2 linked regions of the Lonchura striata genome follow. Each later gene encodes a partner of the first gene's protein in a complex. Links are inferred from orthologs where the notes say so. Each region holds a gene or a part of one and is shown in the gene's direction. Other genes may lie near its edges. The genes, in order: CNOT2 and CNOT8.

Region 1 (8,380 bases):
TTTCTTCATATGTGTAAGGAAATATTAACCAACAGAAGAAAGGCCACTGTCTTTGAGAAACAATATTGGGAATGATGAAGTCAGATTTATTTTCTGACCAAACCTCAATTGGTTTCAGGTCTCAGAGTACCAAGTATCCTTTTACTGGTTGAGCATGTGAAATATCCATAAATGTCCTCAATAAAAAACCACTGCAGGCTGAATGGGGATTATAGCACAGGGCCAAAGTATATCTGGTCCACTGAATAGATCTCAGATTATCTCATATTTGTACACAAAAAACCCACAAAAAACCAAAAACATACTCATCAGCCTTTGGCTAGTAATTTATCTGGGTGTTACTACAGATTGCTAACAAGGATATGGCAACCACAACTATTTCTCACAAAATCTTTTGCCATTCTAACAATACTAAAATGAATAAAATTCTTGCTCGTGATATTCCATGTTTGAATATAACTGTGATTTGTCATATTGTCTTTCTCCCAAGGGAACACTTGAACTGGAAAGGCCAAGCTAACTGTAAGGTAATCTAGTCCATTGGAAGTCCCAGTGAGAAGAATGTGTTCAAAGAATGTGAGAAGGTGGCACTTGGGGACACAGATTAGTGATGAACTTGGGGGCAGAGGTTAGTGATGAACCTGGAAGTACTGGGCTAACAATTAGACTTTCTGATCTTAAAGGTCTTTTCCAACTTAAGCAAATCTATGATTCCATGATTCAATTGTTTCAAAAGAGAAATAGCACTTCTGACCAGGCTGCTCCCCAATGACCATCAGCTGACTGCAATCTTGAGAACTAACATAAAAAGGGTTTCTCTTTCCCCACTGCCATAACTTCCATCTCTTTGGGGATAATGTTGTTCAGGAATGTCAGTCAGCACCTACTCGGGCACTGGCTTGTATCTCTAATGCTTCTCTCCCCCAGAAAACATATTTCCATCTGCATCATTATTCTTCTCTTTGTCTAAACAAACACTTGAAACTGCTATCTCTAATTCTTGATTTATCCTCTCATTTACTAGCACGCTGGTAGACTTCTTAGTTGCTATACAGCAATGTGAAGCATCTTATTTTGGGAAAATGCTACATTTTATCTCCTCTTTGGGGTCATATTACTTTCCAGAATTGTCAGACTTCTTTTTAAATTTGGTATTTTTTCCCCCTGATACTCTGTTATAATTAGCACTAAATCAGACACTGAAGGCACTAGAGCAGAAGGCTGAGAAAGGGTTTCCTGGTAGTAAAAATATGAAAGACTGAGATAAAGATACTTCTGCTCCCAATATTCCCTCCTGGAAACTACAAATCCAGCAGATGAGAAGCCATCTGTGTGGATACCTTGTGATGCATTTTAACGCTAAAATAGTAATTGAGCTGCACTTCTAGGGCTTCCCTTGCCAGCAGCCATCCCTGGAAATCCCCTGTAGGAGTGAAAGGATAGATAAGGACAGTGCCATGGAAACAGCTGATCCTTCCCCTACCTTTCTTAAATGCACTAGCAACTGGAGACTAACTTGCAAAAGTCAAACTATCTAACCAAATCTGCACAAATCTAAATATTTTGTGCTCAATTTCAGTGTAATAGTTAAGAACTACAAGTAAATACACTAAGAAAATGTGAGGTCTCAGTGCTTTTGTTCTTGGGAAAAAAAAAGTGTTGTCAACACCTCTCTAATCTCTAATAATAGATTAATTAATAGATAATCTCTAATATTAGATTTGGTGTACATTTTGACATACCTTTATCCTCCTGTTATAGAAATATTTGAAAAATCAAATAGGCTGTACTAATGAAAAAAATCTGCCACGTTCTTCTAGGCCACAGATTAATGCAGTGCAGTGCTGTAACCCTACAACCTTCCAAATAAAGCAATGGAGGCACTTTTGAACATCATTAAGTAAGAAATAGATTAGGGAGAAGCTGCAGAAAACAGAAACCTCTGTCTTCTCCTGAAGCAGTATTTCACTGTTTTAGCTGATCAAATGCACTTTGCAATTCAAGCTGTTTCTTCCAAGGGACTTAATCCATAATCTGGGAAAGAAAAATACAACCTTGTTTCACCACTGCTGAAAAGCTGCCAACTCTTGCTCCAGGTGATTGCACTGTATTTGTTTTTCCTGAAAACTCTGGTGACAATACATAGGTGGGAGAAAAACTGCATTTCAATTAACATTTTTGTTCTATTTAAAAATTGCTTATAGGGTTGCTAATTCACCATGTTCTGCCTCCACTCTTAAGTGAGGATGGTCGTCTTACTATGACTAATTTAATTTCACGTTTTGGTGAAGTGGAACAGCCTAACCCTGCCCTACACATACTCTGGGTAATTTCTCCCACTTCTGCACCTGCATTGCCCACATCTGTTGGTGATACTTTGAGTCACGGAGTGTTGATGAACTCTCTGGAGCTAAGCATTTGGGGATTCAAAGCACACCTGACTCTTTTGATGACCTCTTCCCAAACTTTCCAGCCAAGTGCTGTTGGTTTTTAGCCTTCTGTAGGTACTAGCAGAAGCATTAGCCAGTGAAGTCCAAACGGATGGTAGGCAAGTGTTGGGAGTGCTTCAGAACACATGCTTTCAGGGCCCAGCTTTCAAGAACATTAGGTAGAAGGCTGTGTCAATGGCAACACATGGATTGTTGACTGCAGGGGCCTGCACACATGATCACATGCAGGACAGGTTTCTGTAATCATGCTTTGTAGTTCCTTCACCTGTGCTGCTATAGACAAAAGTTTTCAGATTGACTCCTACAGGCATTCTTACACTGATTGAAGATGGATGTGTATCAACCTAGTCTGTGGAATAAGTAAATAGTAAGAGACCATTGATTAAATGAGAATAAAAATAACAGATGCATATCAGTTTGTAGACAAAGACCTAAAGAATGAGGTAAAACTCTACCATACATGGTTCAAAATGGATTAGGACTGTCCACACAAATTATCAGTCCTCGTGTTAGTTGCGTTCAGGGCACTTCTTTAATTAAGCAGATGCAACTATGGGAAACAGACCTCACCTTTGTAACAAAATGTATTGAGTCAAGACTAAAAGCAGCAAAGGTATGAGCACATACTTGACAATACACCTTCTTTACTGGTAGCCTTGGACGTTATTTTAACACATCAAAACACTAAATGCTTTCACTTTCTTTAAGAAAACAAAAGAGGAAGTAGAATACACAGCTACTACAGCTTGAGTAATGAACTTCCTCAACTAAACACAGAGTTAAGCAGAAGGACAGGTTAGATTTTTTTCAGTTAACAGAATTTTAATCACAATTTACACATATTGTGAGTGCAGGTTGGGTTGTTTATACTAAACTAACCAGTCTAACACAAGATAACACACTTTTTTCCCCATTACTAGCTCTGTTGAGCTAGTCAAGCTTCTTGTCCTATAAATGCTAATTGATTTGTATGTAAAGTGTTACTTTGCAATGAACAGAGAGATCAGCCCATGTACATGCAATGACAATATCAGGTTCTTAGTTTACTTACAGCATATTGTTTGGTATTGTCTTAATGACTTCTCTTTGGGAAAATTGAAGGAAAATTAGCTTTTAAAAAAGAAAGTCAGACCAGTGAAGAAGTGTGAAATGAAATATAATGAAGCAAGATGTTTATAATCAGATATAAAAGAATCAGACTATATAAACACTAATAACACTGAAGGTTAATAACACTGATTGTATTTTTCAGTATAAAAGTACTGCTTTTGTATTTGATTTGTGGTAAGAGGAAATTTTTGATTTTTCAGACTGAACAACAAAAGTGGTCCAGAAGTTCATACTATAAACAGCATGTCACTTTTGGTACTTTCTAATGGTTTGATTCTAGCAAATGCATGAATTTGTCACAAAGGTTTGTGATTGGAATAATAAAATGCAGTGCCTTCCTGGATGGTGTATATACACATCCATTTCAATGACATGGCAGCCATTCTCATCACACAACTAAAGCTGGTGGCAAAAAGAAACTGGTCTCCTGGCTTAAAAGGAAGGCTGCTCTTTTATCTTCAAAATGTATTTATGTTGATAGACATGTTACTGTAGTACCTTTTTCTATAAAATATTAGTGTTGTGTAACCTAATGAGTTCTTCAGTAATTCTAAATTCAATCTGAAGGTTCAAAATCAAACCTGAGAAGAAAGCACACGTGTGAAACTATTGAAAGAAACCTGCTATTGCTGCTCATATCTTTGCTTGAAATTTTAAACTTTATGATGATTTTACAAACTAAGGTGTCAGTGCCATTGTTTTGTTTTGTTTTGTTTTGTTTTGGTTTGGTTTTTTTTGATGGAGCAGAGCACCCAGCTCACAAATGATGTTGGCCATTATCCTGTGAACACTTGTGCAAAGGCTTAGCTTTTTTACCATTGACAGTCTCATTAAATTCAAGGGGATTATTTGCATGAGTGTTTTGTGCATCAGCACTGGCTGTACTGAAGCCACTGCTATAACACACATTTTGTGGGTCGATAAATTAAAAGTCCACTTAGGTCATCTTGTAAATGCTTTTCCTCTTTATTAACACACAAAGTTAATAGCTGGACCTGTCTCTCTACTGCTATCACACTCCAGAGAAAATGGGAACTTTGACACAATTTACCCCATCGTCGGGTCGTTCCTGACCTAGAACCTCCACAGGATGATGCACAGCCTGCGGAGAGGCCAGGCCGCTCCTTCTGCGCTCTGCAACCCAAAGGGAGTTGACAGAGCAGGGCCGTGGAGGATGGGACACCCTCTCTGGAAGCCGGGGCGCTCGCCAAGGGAGCGCGTCCACCCGGGGTAGGTCTCCAGAGGCCCCGGCAGCCCCGGGGAGCACAGCGAGGGGAGGACCGGAGAGCCCCGCTGCGCCCCGACCCTGCTGACCCCCACGCCCCGATCTGGCCCGGCACGCCAGGCCGGCGCCCTCTCCCCTCAGAGAACGGGATCTGGGCCGGGCGCGTCCCCGGCCAGCAGCGTCTCGGCGGGGCCGGCGGGCACCGGCGGCATCCGGCAGCCCCGCGGCCTGCGGGCCCTGCCCCCAGCGCTGGGCCGCGTCTCCCGCGGGAGGCGGAGGGAGCGCAGCCGAGGGAGCCTCGCTGCTCTTCCTCCTCCCCTTCCTCCCGTCCCCCCCAGCCCCTCCGCAGGGCCGAGCCGTTGCGGGCGGTGCAGCGGCGCTGCCCCCGCCCCTCGGCGCCGGCGGCCGGGACGAGCGGCGGCGGGGTCACGGCGGCGGCCGGGTCAGAGGGTAAAGGTTGCTCCCCCAGCATCCTCCGTGCTGGATACTCAGCCATCTTGGATTCGCGGGACAAGAAAATTCATGCGGTGAGTCCGGCCCCGGCCGCCCCTTCCCCGGCCCCGCCGCCGACACGGGCCTCGCCGCCGTCCCGGCCGCGGCCCGATGTGGGAGGCCCGGGCGGCGGCGCGGCCCTCGGCGAGGCTCGGTGGACCTGGGGCCGCCCCGCCGTGTTTCCGTTTGCTTTTGTCTCCGAGGGGGAGCGGGGGGGACGCGCGGCGCCCGAGCCGGGGGCGCAGCCGCAGGCCCGGCCCGGCCCGCCGCCCCCCGCCCTCCTCCGCGGCCGCGGGCGGCGGGACCCCCGGGCGCCGCTGCGGGGACGGGCGAGCCCGCGGCCCGGCTGTGTTTGGGCCCCGCATCCCCGCGGCCGCCGTTGGCAGCTCGCCCTGCGGCCCACTCGGCCCGCCCGACCGGCTTCTTCCCGCCGCCGCCCCGCCGGCTGGTCCCAGGCCTCCTCCGTCCCTCCGAGCCCGGCCCCGCGGGGCTGCGCGGCCGCCCGGCCCCCGCCCGCCGCCTTCCCCGGGCCCGGCGCCGGGGCAGCGGAACCTGCCGCCCACGGCCGGGGCCGCGCTGGCCCCGCGCTCCGCCGAGCGGCCGTGCGGCCTGCGCCGCGGGCCCCGGGCGGAGAAAGGCGGTGAGATGGGGGTGTTGCTGGCTGGCTTTCGGTTGAAAAATTATTTTATTTTCTTTTTTTTTTTTTTACTTTTTTTTTTTTTTTTTTTCTCCTGCGTCTGTTTCACTCTCCTCCTGGTGCAGGTTAAGGCTGTGTGTAAACAGGTTCTGGCTTTCCCTCGGACGTGTTTGTAAAACAAACTTGAAAGGGACAGAGCGCGGGCGCCGGAGGAAGGAACCAGCCTTCCCCTGCCCGCCTGGGCGGCGATGACAAGCTCTGGCGTGAGCCTGACCCGTGCTGGGAGAGGAGGTGGCACAGGGTGACAGGTTAGGGATAAGAGGGGGACAGTAGGGCGGTGGGAAAAGATGCAAGTGTCAGTGTTAGCAGTCTAGTTAGTGTATGTATGCTTCTGGTGAAAACAAGGACCAACTAATGGGTGTTCTTGGTTTTAGGATGGGGTTTTTTTGGTGAAGTTACAAGTAACTTTGTTTTGGAGGCTCTGTAATGTGGGAAAATGAAAATATGTTTGTGTAAGGTGGTATTTGCTTCTGCTGCTTATTCAAATCTAACACAAGCATGTTTAATTTCTGCTGTCTCTTTTATCAGGGAAAAAGTTGTTCCCAACTTTGCAGTGTTTTATCCCCAGGGGAGGATAAGAACTTTCTGTGTATCTTTCATAAACATATATGTGTTTATGTGACTTGAGTGCGTGGAGGAGACACTCCTATGTGCCTGCACAAGCAGCAACATCTGGTGTTGGTGACTGGCTGCTAGTCTTAACTCTTCAGCTGGGGAAGGATAGATTAAGATGATCAAACCTGCTGTCATGCCTGTTATTGGAAAACTTTATCTTTTGGAAAACTTGGATTTGTTTCAGACTTGTGAAGACCTGCAAGAGCAAAGTAATTTTAGAAGTTTATATTGCAAAGGCATCTTCCTTTGGATCTGGAAGAATTGTTGTGTATGTGCTGATGTACTTTAAGTTACCTTATACTGACACATTAATGGAACATAGCTCACAGGATCAAGTTTTGTGAACTTGAACATGATGTATCTGTCCCATGCCTTTTTTTCCCTCTTCTTTTTGCCCCCCAATTCCACTGTTCTTTGTGTTGTGTATTCAGTTGGTATGCTAAACTTCGAGGTGTTGACTGCTTCTGATTTTAGAAAGGGATTTGAATACTCACTTATCAAGAGCTGACTGACTTGACTTGCAAGTGTATTTCCGTTTCATTTTCAGCAATCTGTTGATAAAGCTAAGAGTGTAGTAGTAGATAAACCTTGTCTACATATCTCTTCTAGAAACTTAATACTGCTGTCAAGGTAGTCATTGTTATTGCAATCTATTTGTGTGTCAGTTCTATCAAGAAATGAAAGAAAAGCCCTTGGCTAAAAACTGAAAATAAAGAAACCCCAGAAATTTATATCAAAAAAACAGATTTGAATTTTCTTTAACAGAATCCAGTTCTAGTAATTGTCATTTAGTGGAAAAAAATAGGACACTTGGTGTGTTCTGAAGTTTGATGCTAAAAAATTGTTTGATGCTAAGAAGTGGCTGTTTCCACCTGAAAATCTTGGTCTTTACCTTAGTAGCTTCATATGAAAATTCTATGTGCCTGCAGTGGACCTTTAGATCTCAGAAAGTATTTCTGTTTAATTTTTTAATATTTCTAAATGCATTTCTGTCTGGATAGAGATTAGCTTTGAAATCAGGAACATTATTGCTGTTTTAGCCTCTGTTGTAGCTTTCTTAAAAATTATCCTAATATTCATGTTGATGGAAGGGCTGTTGTGTAGTAATTGCTAAGTAGTAACCTCATTATGGTTTTAAAGGGGCCTTGTATCATAACTTTGTTTATTCAAAAATATCTTCCACCTCCATCCTTTTATGAACTCAAGAAGATAATAGAACTTAAAAACACACCGTATTTCAATTAAAACAGAGGTTTCTATCACCTGGCTTTCTGACTTTATCTGGAAACTAAAAATAAACATTGAATTGCTTGTTTTCCTTTGAGGTAGTATATAAAGTGCACCAAGTACAGAATTTTATTCTAATGGAAGTAGACCCCTGTATCTAACTTTTAAAATTATGTCTTCCCTTAAAGCTATAATTTGCTTGAATAAAAGGCACCTTAAAAATGCGTTATCAAAAAGGAAAATTTTTAAATTCTTGGCAGAGTATTTGCCACATTTGTTGTGTGTCTTTATAAATGTTAGCTTAAATAGAAAGCCTTTTACCAGTTTCTATGGAAGTACAGTACCTTAGGAAGTCAAATCAAAATTTTTATGACAGATTTAAGTGATTGCTCTGTACATGATACACTTTTTCTTATTTTAAATTGTTATTAATACAGAAGGTATGTAAATTTCAAGGATTGACAAAAGCATAGAAGCTGAAGTTAGGTTAACTTTGCTTTATCTGAGCTTTTGAGACATAAATAAGTAAATATATGTGAGCATTCTGCTATACAGCAGAAATCT
Region 2 (8,159 bases), on another chromosome or scaffold:
TACAGCCCCAAATCAACCACTGAAGCTCTCAGCTGCCTGTAGCTATTTCCAAATATCAGCTATAACTACTACTGCTTTAAAAAAAGTTCCTTTCCCGTTATTTTGAATTAGTTAACACAAAATTTGATCCAAAGCAAATTCTCAACCCTGGAGTAAAAGTAATTGCCTTTCTAATCAGTCTTTTGACATTAAAGGGGAAACATACACTAGTCAATCAAGAATTGTAATACATTTTTTAATATTATTATTTCCATGTGTAACTTAATTTGCCCAAAAACTGTTCATTAAGTCATAGATCTTGTTTTCACTGAATTTTTCACTTTTGGTACTGTAAAAAAGCTAGCTTGTCTAAGTCATGTTTTAAAATGCTCAATATAATACATAGTATAATGCTCAATACAATCTGAGTAGAATCTGAAAAAAACCCTGCTGTATTTGTTACTTTTTTTTTGTTTACATGTAAATTATTATTTATGCCCCATGCCTGCAGTTCTGTTTTCCTTCTGGTGCCCAGAAAGCCTCAAGCTGAGGCAGCACAGGTGCCCCTTCCCTGTACTGCACCCACTGCACTGCGTCCTTCTGTGCACGGCAGACACAGCTCAGAACAGCTCCATCTGAGGTGATGGACTGGCTGCCCACCCCAGCTCCCTGGGATTCCCTGTGCCTTCCTCCTGAAGTCTCTGGTGTAGGTCTTACTTCACTGAAATCAACCTTTATATGGCACAGACAGTGGAAAATTGTTCCTGGGAGAACAAAGGCTGTGACTATCCACAGAAGTACAGAACATACAGAACAAAAAACACAGGACCACTTACCTGGTCACCTGAACAGCCGCATTTCTGTGTAGAGAGACACAGGACCAGAAGTGGTGTTTGATGTCCTACCAAGCACTGCACAGTTTTAGGGGAACCCCTGTTCCTAGAAAAGCTGACAATGGACTTCACACAGACATGACACTGCCTTTTAATGACTTCCTCAAAGTCTCTATCATATCTTTTCAAGCACCCTTGAACTCTGGCTGCCTGTTCTTTCTCACCACCTGCCTGATGGTAGCCTAGGAGAGGTCCTTTTTGTCTGTTCAGAGCAGAGTTCAGCTCCTCACTTTTCACATCTCCTGTCGAAACTTTATGAGGGTTTAGGCAAGGGCAATAGGGGTGTGTTTCCAAGCAGGAGCTGCCTGTCCCCTCCCAGACAAGTCATGTGAAGCCAGTGCCATGTCACTGTTAGTGCTGGCACTGTTCCCCATGTCTATGTGCATGCTGTTACTCAGTTAAGCACGTGGAATACACTGATTCTGCAGGTAAGTTTTTCATCGTTGTACCTGAGAACAAAAAATCCACCAACACCCCTAAAAGTAAGTAGTTTTTATAATTCACCAACTCATGGCTGGAGCACAAAATAGCTACTGCCAGTGCAACTGAATGGGTCAAAGGTATTTGTTAAAATCAGTAAGGGTTACTGTGGAATTTGGCAAAAACCCAGCAGTCCAGATTTAATCCTGTTGTACTAAATCTAAAAATTACTCCAACTCTGTTGCTACACAGTGCCCTCAACCAGTAACAGGCTTTGCTTGCATGGCTAAGATGAAGACACACATAGGTTAGCATGTACTTGGGCTCAGTTGTCTTTAAGCATGTTGTTTACAGACCATAAAGTGTGTAATTATGGTATTGCAGAGAGCAAGATGTAATTTACAGCGGCATCGATCTTTCTTATGCAAATGTGGCCCCAATCTGTTACTCAGCCCATAAATAGTGCCCTATTGCAAACTAAGCTCTGAGAACTGAGCGTGTTACTATCATAACTCTCCAGATCTATTTTTCACAGGAGGAAAAACAGGGAATACTACCTCTGCCTCCCAGTTATCCTTGTTTGCCCTTCTCAGGTGAAGCAACACATGCTTTTTCTCAGTAACACCTAGTTCCAGCAGAGCTGGAACTGCAGAGAGCTCTGCAAGAGTGAACAGTGTTTAACACTGTTACTGCTTCCATCATCACTTTTTCTTGCCTAGTTCCAACTATTCCCTGGTAGGGACAGAAACTGTAGTTCTTAGCTGTTGCTACTAATTGGTATTTATCACACAGAGCAGGCTCAACAGAGAGGAATGTGATTCCTTCAAACTATTTACTCACGAAGAGGAGGAAGTGGAAATGAGCATCTCAAGAGAGGGGTGCCATAAGGATAACGTCCTCACTGATCTTTGGATGTGAGCTTGCAGGGGGAGGGCTGTTCAACCAACAGCCAATAGTGAATTTCAGACCTCAGTGTTCCTTGTGAACCACTGCTCAATTCCAGCATGGGTGATCTCTGAAATATTCATACCCATAGGGACAACTCAGCACATTAGTCATAGGGTTGTAAGTGCCATTGAACTTCTGCTGCAATTGTGTGTCTAGCACAGGTTGTCACTGATCAAACTGCTGCTTCTGCCTGCTGGCTGCCCTGCGCTGGTGTCTCTGCCACAGACACTCCAATGCTGCTGCAATCTTTGCTGAGCCATGCAAGAAGTCTGATTCCTTCTCAGCAAAAAAAGCTTTTTGATCAGACACTTCCTAACACAACTTTGTTCACTCCCCAGAGTTTTTGTAATAAGCACTGGTTGTTTCACTGTTTGAGAGGAACATCAGGGGGAAATCTATGAAGTATCTTTCAGGGGACTGGACAAGCCCATACTGATAGTTCCTCAAAAGGCTGAAGAGGAATCTGAACTTGGCACACATCACCCACTGCCTAATTCCCTGCATTCTGAACCAGATCTCTCACCCTCTGCCAGGGCACGTGTGCCACCACCTAGCACTGCAGTGCTTTGGGAGCACTTGTGGAACAACAGAAGGCTGAGGAAAACATAAATTCACCTTTCAGGGTTCCCACAAGGAAGGTTTCTTGTGGTGCTGTGAGTAAGCTCTAAAGAAAAGGCACAACAGGACATGCAGCTCCAGCTGCCCAGTGTGAAAACATTGAGCTAAAGACCTTTATTCCACCTTATAATGCAGCTCTACACTCGTATGTAGATGTGAGGACTCTTCAAGACTTGCTTTGGAGTGCTGGAGCTGGAAGCAACCTTGGTAACCTCCAAATACAGAAATGATGGGACTTTTTAAAGAGCAGGGTGCCTCTTCCAGCTATTCTGAATCTTTATTAGCCATGTCATGTTTGAAAAAAATTCTGATTTCTTCGAGCAAACTGTGTCTCCAGTGCTTGCAAACATCTCTGAACAGCTTTGTTTTACAGACAAATTTTTACACACTACAAATGTAATTTATCACAGGTGATTATTGCCTGCAACATTTTTTATTACAGTACCAAGGCACAGATATTTACAGTGGCCTGAGGAGATGCATCCTCCCTTTTCCCCTCGATTCAACATCCCTTCAAGCACCAGGTTTACGAGCAAGAAAAATGTCTCTGAACTCTTCTGGGAAATAAAAATTTCATCTTATATTTACAGGGTGCTGTAATCCAGCCTGCTGAATTTACCTGCTAACAACACAGATTTCCTTGTACAAAACCCCAGACTCAAATGACCACAGGAAGAAAGGTGGTTACTTTCTGGCAGTGTAGCATATTGCATGTTGCATAAATTGCACAACACCAGAGACTGCAGAGATAAGGCAAAACAGTAACTTTCTATCATCCCTGAAGATAAAACTCTGAATCAAAATAATGCGCAATAAAGGGAATGTACCAAGATGCTGACAGCAGCAAGGTCACTCAACACAGCAACTCTTGAAAAACCCTCTTCTTTTCTAACGGCAACATTTCTGCTGAGGCATGAACATAAAACCTGAGACATTGAATGGTGTCTGATGTGTGAAAGATACCAATATCTGCTTTTCCAGATACTTTGATCAAAATGCTGGGCAAGTAGCCGAGATTCAGGGAAAGACTCCCATATGGTGGGCAGACAATCCAGTACCAGAACATATATATTTATAGAGGCACATATTTTAGAGATATTTTATAGATGCAGATTATAATCTATATATATATAGATATATAATCTATATATCTAGATATATAGGTTATATATATCTATATATTATCTAGATATACAGCTATATCTATAATCTAGGTATATAATTTATTGATTATATATTTTATTTATATTTTAATATATATTTTACAAAAGATGCAACCCCGTCCAGAAGGACGGCAGTCTAAAATAAAGGAAATACGATCTAAGTTTAATTAGTAGACGAGCTTCCAAATGAATTGCCTATGTACCATCAGCATCAGCCAGCAAAGCCGTGTTACACAACCAGTATCTGCTTTACCAGCTACAACCTTCTGTTGCTAACGTAATGTAAATTCCACTCCTGGAACAGAAGCCTATAAGTCTGCAGGTGTAGTAGTAGGGACTTAAATGACTTCTAAGCCCCTGCAGGAAGAAGCAGAACTTGCTCCATTAATAAGCTTAATACGCACTACACCGTAGGAGCAACGCGTGCCAGGCCAGCAGCTTCAGGAAATCCCCTTGGAACACAAACCCTCATCCCGCTCCCACCCTGCGCGCCCGCGGCCTGGGAGCCCGGGGGGGCTCGGGCCTCACCCCGACCGGGACCCCCTCACCTCCCCTTGCTCAGGGAGGGGCGGCCGCTGCTTCTTTCGGGGACGCTCAGCCGGGGCCCGGCGCAGCCCCTGTCCCAAGGGATCGGGGTGCCGGGGGCTCCCCATGCTGGAAGCCCACCGCAGCCCCGGCGGGCGTTATGGCGACGCCTCCCTCAGGGAGCGGAGACACCCAGCTCCTTCATCCCTCCCCCCTCCGCCCGCGGAGTTTGGACTCGCCCGCCATTCTCAGCGCGGGGAGCCCGGGCGAGCCCACTGCGGGAGCGGGGGGAGGGGGGGGAAGCACCAGCCGGTGTGGGCTGGGCAGATGTACCCGCCCCGTCGCGCGCTCCGCCACGTCTCGCGAGAGGCAAAGCGGCGCGAGCGGCGGAAGCGCCGCCCCTCGCGGCGGGGCACTCGGAGCCGGCGCGGGGCGGGAGCGGCGCGTCCCGGCCGCGGCTGCCGGGAGGTACCGGGGAGCGGGGCGGGCACCGGCACTGCCACCGGCACCGGCACTGCCACCGGCACTGCCACCGGCACCGCCACCGGCACCGCCACCGCGGCTGCGGGGCCGCGCCTGGCGCTGGGCTTCGGCGGGCGGCGGCCCTCCCGCTTGCCGGCCGCGCTGAGCCGCGTCCGGCCGCCCGCGGGCTGTGAGGGGCCCTGAGGCGACCCGGGCCGCGCCGCGGCGGTGCGCTCGTCCCTGCGCTGGCGCAGGCCGCTCGCAGACGCCTGGCGGCGGTTCGCCGGGGTTTTTATTACGGGAAAGCGGCACCAGCCGGTGGCTCGCCCGAGCTGGGGCGCTGCTGGCGCTGCCGGTGGTTCCAGCCGGAACAGCCCGCCGCAGTGTGCCCCGAGTCACAGCCCAGGGGGAAGAAGCCCAGAATGGGTTGGGAGGGACCGCAGTGGGTTACCTGGTTCAACCTCCCTGCTCAAGTGTGGTCATCCCAGAGTATGTGGTACAGGATTGTGTCCAGGCCATTCTGGAAAATCTCCATTGAGGCAGCCTCCAAAACCTCTCTGGGCAAGCTGTTCCCGTGCCCGGTCCCTGCACAGTTTTTGCTCATATTCTTCCTCATGTTCAGAGGAAACTTCTGTGCATGACTTGCTGCCCATTGACTCTTGTTCTGTCGCTTGGCATCACGAAGATGAGCCCGGCTCCATCTTCTTAGCACCCCCTTTAGATATTTCTACCCCTTGAAACTCCATCCAATGAGTATTCTCTCTAATGCATTCTGTTACTGTGTTTAAACAATTGTCTTCATCATAGAATCACAGTGGGGTTTGGATTGGAGAGGACCTTCAAGATCATCTCATTCCTCCCCCCAGCTGTGGGCAGGGACACCTTCCACTAGACCAGGGTGCTCAGAGCTCCATCCAGCCTGGCCCTGAACACTTCCAGGGATGGAGAAATATCCCTGGAGTGAGGGTTGAGAGTTACAGATGAGGATTCCCTGCCTGTACGTCTTGTGCCCTAAGTGTCAAAGCTTATGCCAGGAAAAGGAAGATAGGAGTAATGATTCTACTGGACTGTTGATTGTGCATCTACTTTTATATTGTGAACAAATGCTCTTGATTTCATTCAGCATGTTCACAGAAAGTGATAAAGCAGGAAAACTTGGTGTAAACTTTAAACAGGTTGTTTGAAGGTGAAAATGGTAGTGTGACTGACTCCTACAGCTCATTTATTCACATGTTATTCTTCCTTCACTTAAAGCATTATTTATTTATCTCTTTAATGCAGCACACTGATAAGATTGCACAGCTTGTGATCCTGCACTGTCATTTGAGTTCAGCATCAGCTGCCTTTTTTCTGGTCCCTGCAAGATGCCAGCAGCCCTTGCAGAAAACAGCCAGGTTATCTGTGAAGTATGGGCCAACAACCTGGAGGAAGAGATGAGGAAAATTCGGGAGATTGTTCTGAGTTACAGCTACATTGCCATGGTAAATGTTTTATACTTGACCTAATTGCCTTAGTCAAGGGATTTTTTGGGGTTGTGGACTAAGTTGATTCTTGAGTGAGAAATGTTTCTTCCTACCCCCTGAAAATTTGAACTAAAAGAGGTGAAAAAATAAAAAGCTGTTTGGTAGCTTTTCAGAATTTAATACAAGCGGTGATGAGTATGGGTTGATTGAAAGAAGGGGAAGAAGGAGACTAACTTAAAAACGTGAATTTATTTAATATTTAGCTATTCAGAGTGTATTCATTTGTGCAGCAGGAAAATTAAACAAGTAACAATTGGGTTTAAATCCTTATTTTTCCACCAGTGTGTTTGTCCTTTGAATGTTTTTCTTCATTTGATTATAGATGATGCTATGGGAGTGGTGGTCAAAAGGCTTGCAAGTCACTGCTAGCAGCTGGGCTGCCTCCTTTCAAATGAAGGCAGATGTTGATTCTTAGGGAAGAAAAATATTCTGGCTGTAGATAAGACAATATGTTCAGAAAGCTTTATTTAAGAAGAGCATAATCTCCCCTAGGTGGGAGGAATCTCCTCCTGCTCTTACAAGTCTGTATCTGCTTGGCAGCACCCCAGTGTGTTAGATAAAGAACTGGTTTTAGCTGTGGTACTGTAAGTTCTGCCAGCTTTGCTTAGGAGCACTGAACCTCAAAATCTGAAAAGTCCTCATTAAAATGTGGCAAAAGACAGGTGCCTTTGCAGAGTGTGGGGGATTTTGGTGTCAAATTCAGCTGTGGAAGTGAGTATGATTTTTTTGTTAACATTTGTCAATGGGAAATGAACTTTTTGCTTCTTTTCAGTCTCACTGGAGGTGTTCTTAGGGTTTGTTTGAGTGACTGTGCTGTATGAGTAGACAGATAAACTTCTTGGGCAAGGGAGAGATTATGTCAGGTGCACAGCACTGGCTTCATTGTGAAAGATTTTGTGTGTAGTCAGCAGAAGCTCAGTGACCCAGTCTGAGGGTAGGAACAGCGGCAGTTTGGTGTTCAGCACAGACTGCACACAGTCACTGGCTGGGTAAGAGGTTTTTCACCTAACAGATGGTTTTTATCTGATAGGTGGCTGCTGTTGTTGAGGTGTGTTTGACTGACAGCAGTTTTTGTTAATGTGGGCATTGACTGTTCCTCAGAAGCTGTGAAGGTTTTCACTGTCTGGGCTGCCCTCACAGAGTGGTAATAATGACTGCTGACAGAATCCATGGTGAAACTCAGTTTTCCCTTCTCTGCCAGGACACGGAGTTCCCTGGAGTCGTTGTCAGGCCAATCGGTGAATTCCGCAGCTCCATAGATTATCAGTACCAGCTCCTTCGCTGTAACGTTGACCTGCTGAAAATCATCCAGCTGGGCCTGACTTTCACAAATGAGAAGGGGGAATACCCTTCTGGCATTAACACCTGGCAGTTCAACTTCAAATTCAACCTCACGTGAGTCTTTGGGCTTGGCATTAATTTCCTGTTCTTTCTGCTGGAGTGATGCTTTCCTTTGGCAAATACCAGTGTCCATGTGCTCATCACTGCTGGCTGCTTCTGAGCAATAAGGATTCAGATTCTAGTACAGACTGTGTGGGAACCTAGTTTGGAGTGCCAGGAGTTAACAGTGTATCTGGAAGTCAAAGCCATGCTAAAATTCTATCCTCATTATCTTTTCTCTTAATAAT

The links.
Region 2: CNOT2 (region 1) and CNOT8 share a complex: the UniProt entries of both Homo sapiens proteins name them as parts of the CCR4-NOT complex. The link is inferred for Lonchura striata from reciprocal best matches to the Homo sapiens genes CNOT2 and CNOT8.

The regions. Positions count from the first base shown.
Region 1 is NC_134607.1:44,842,297-44,850,676, forward strand, and holds the start of CNOT2 (CCR4-NOT transcription complex subunit 2), read left to right. Parts: upstream 1-5,182; 5' UTR 5,183-5,312; intron 5,313-5,863; exon of another isoform or gene 5,864-5,917; intron 5,918-8,380. UniProt on the Homo sapiens protein: Component of the CCR4-NOT complex which is one of the major cellular mRNA deadenylases and is linked to various cellular processes including bulk mRNA degradation, miRNA-mediated repression, translational repression during translational initiation and general transcription regulation.
Region 2 is NC_134617.1:5,120,542-5,128,700, reverse strand, and holds the start of CNOT8 (CCR4-NOT transcription complex subunit 8), read left to right. Parts: upstream 1-4,927; 5' UTR 4,928-5,014; intron 5,015-6,289; 5' UTR 6,290-6,372; coding exon 6,373-6,489; intron 6,490-7,732; coding exon 7,733-7,926; intron 7,927-8,159. UniProt on the Homo sapiens protein: Has 3'-5' poly(A) exoribonuclease activity for synthetic poly(A) RNA substrate. Its function seems to be partially redundant with that of CNOT7.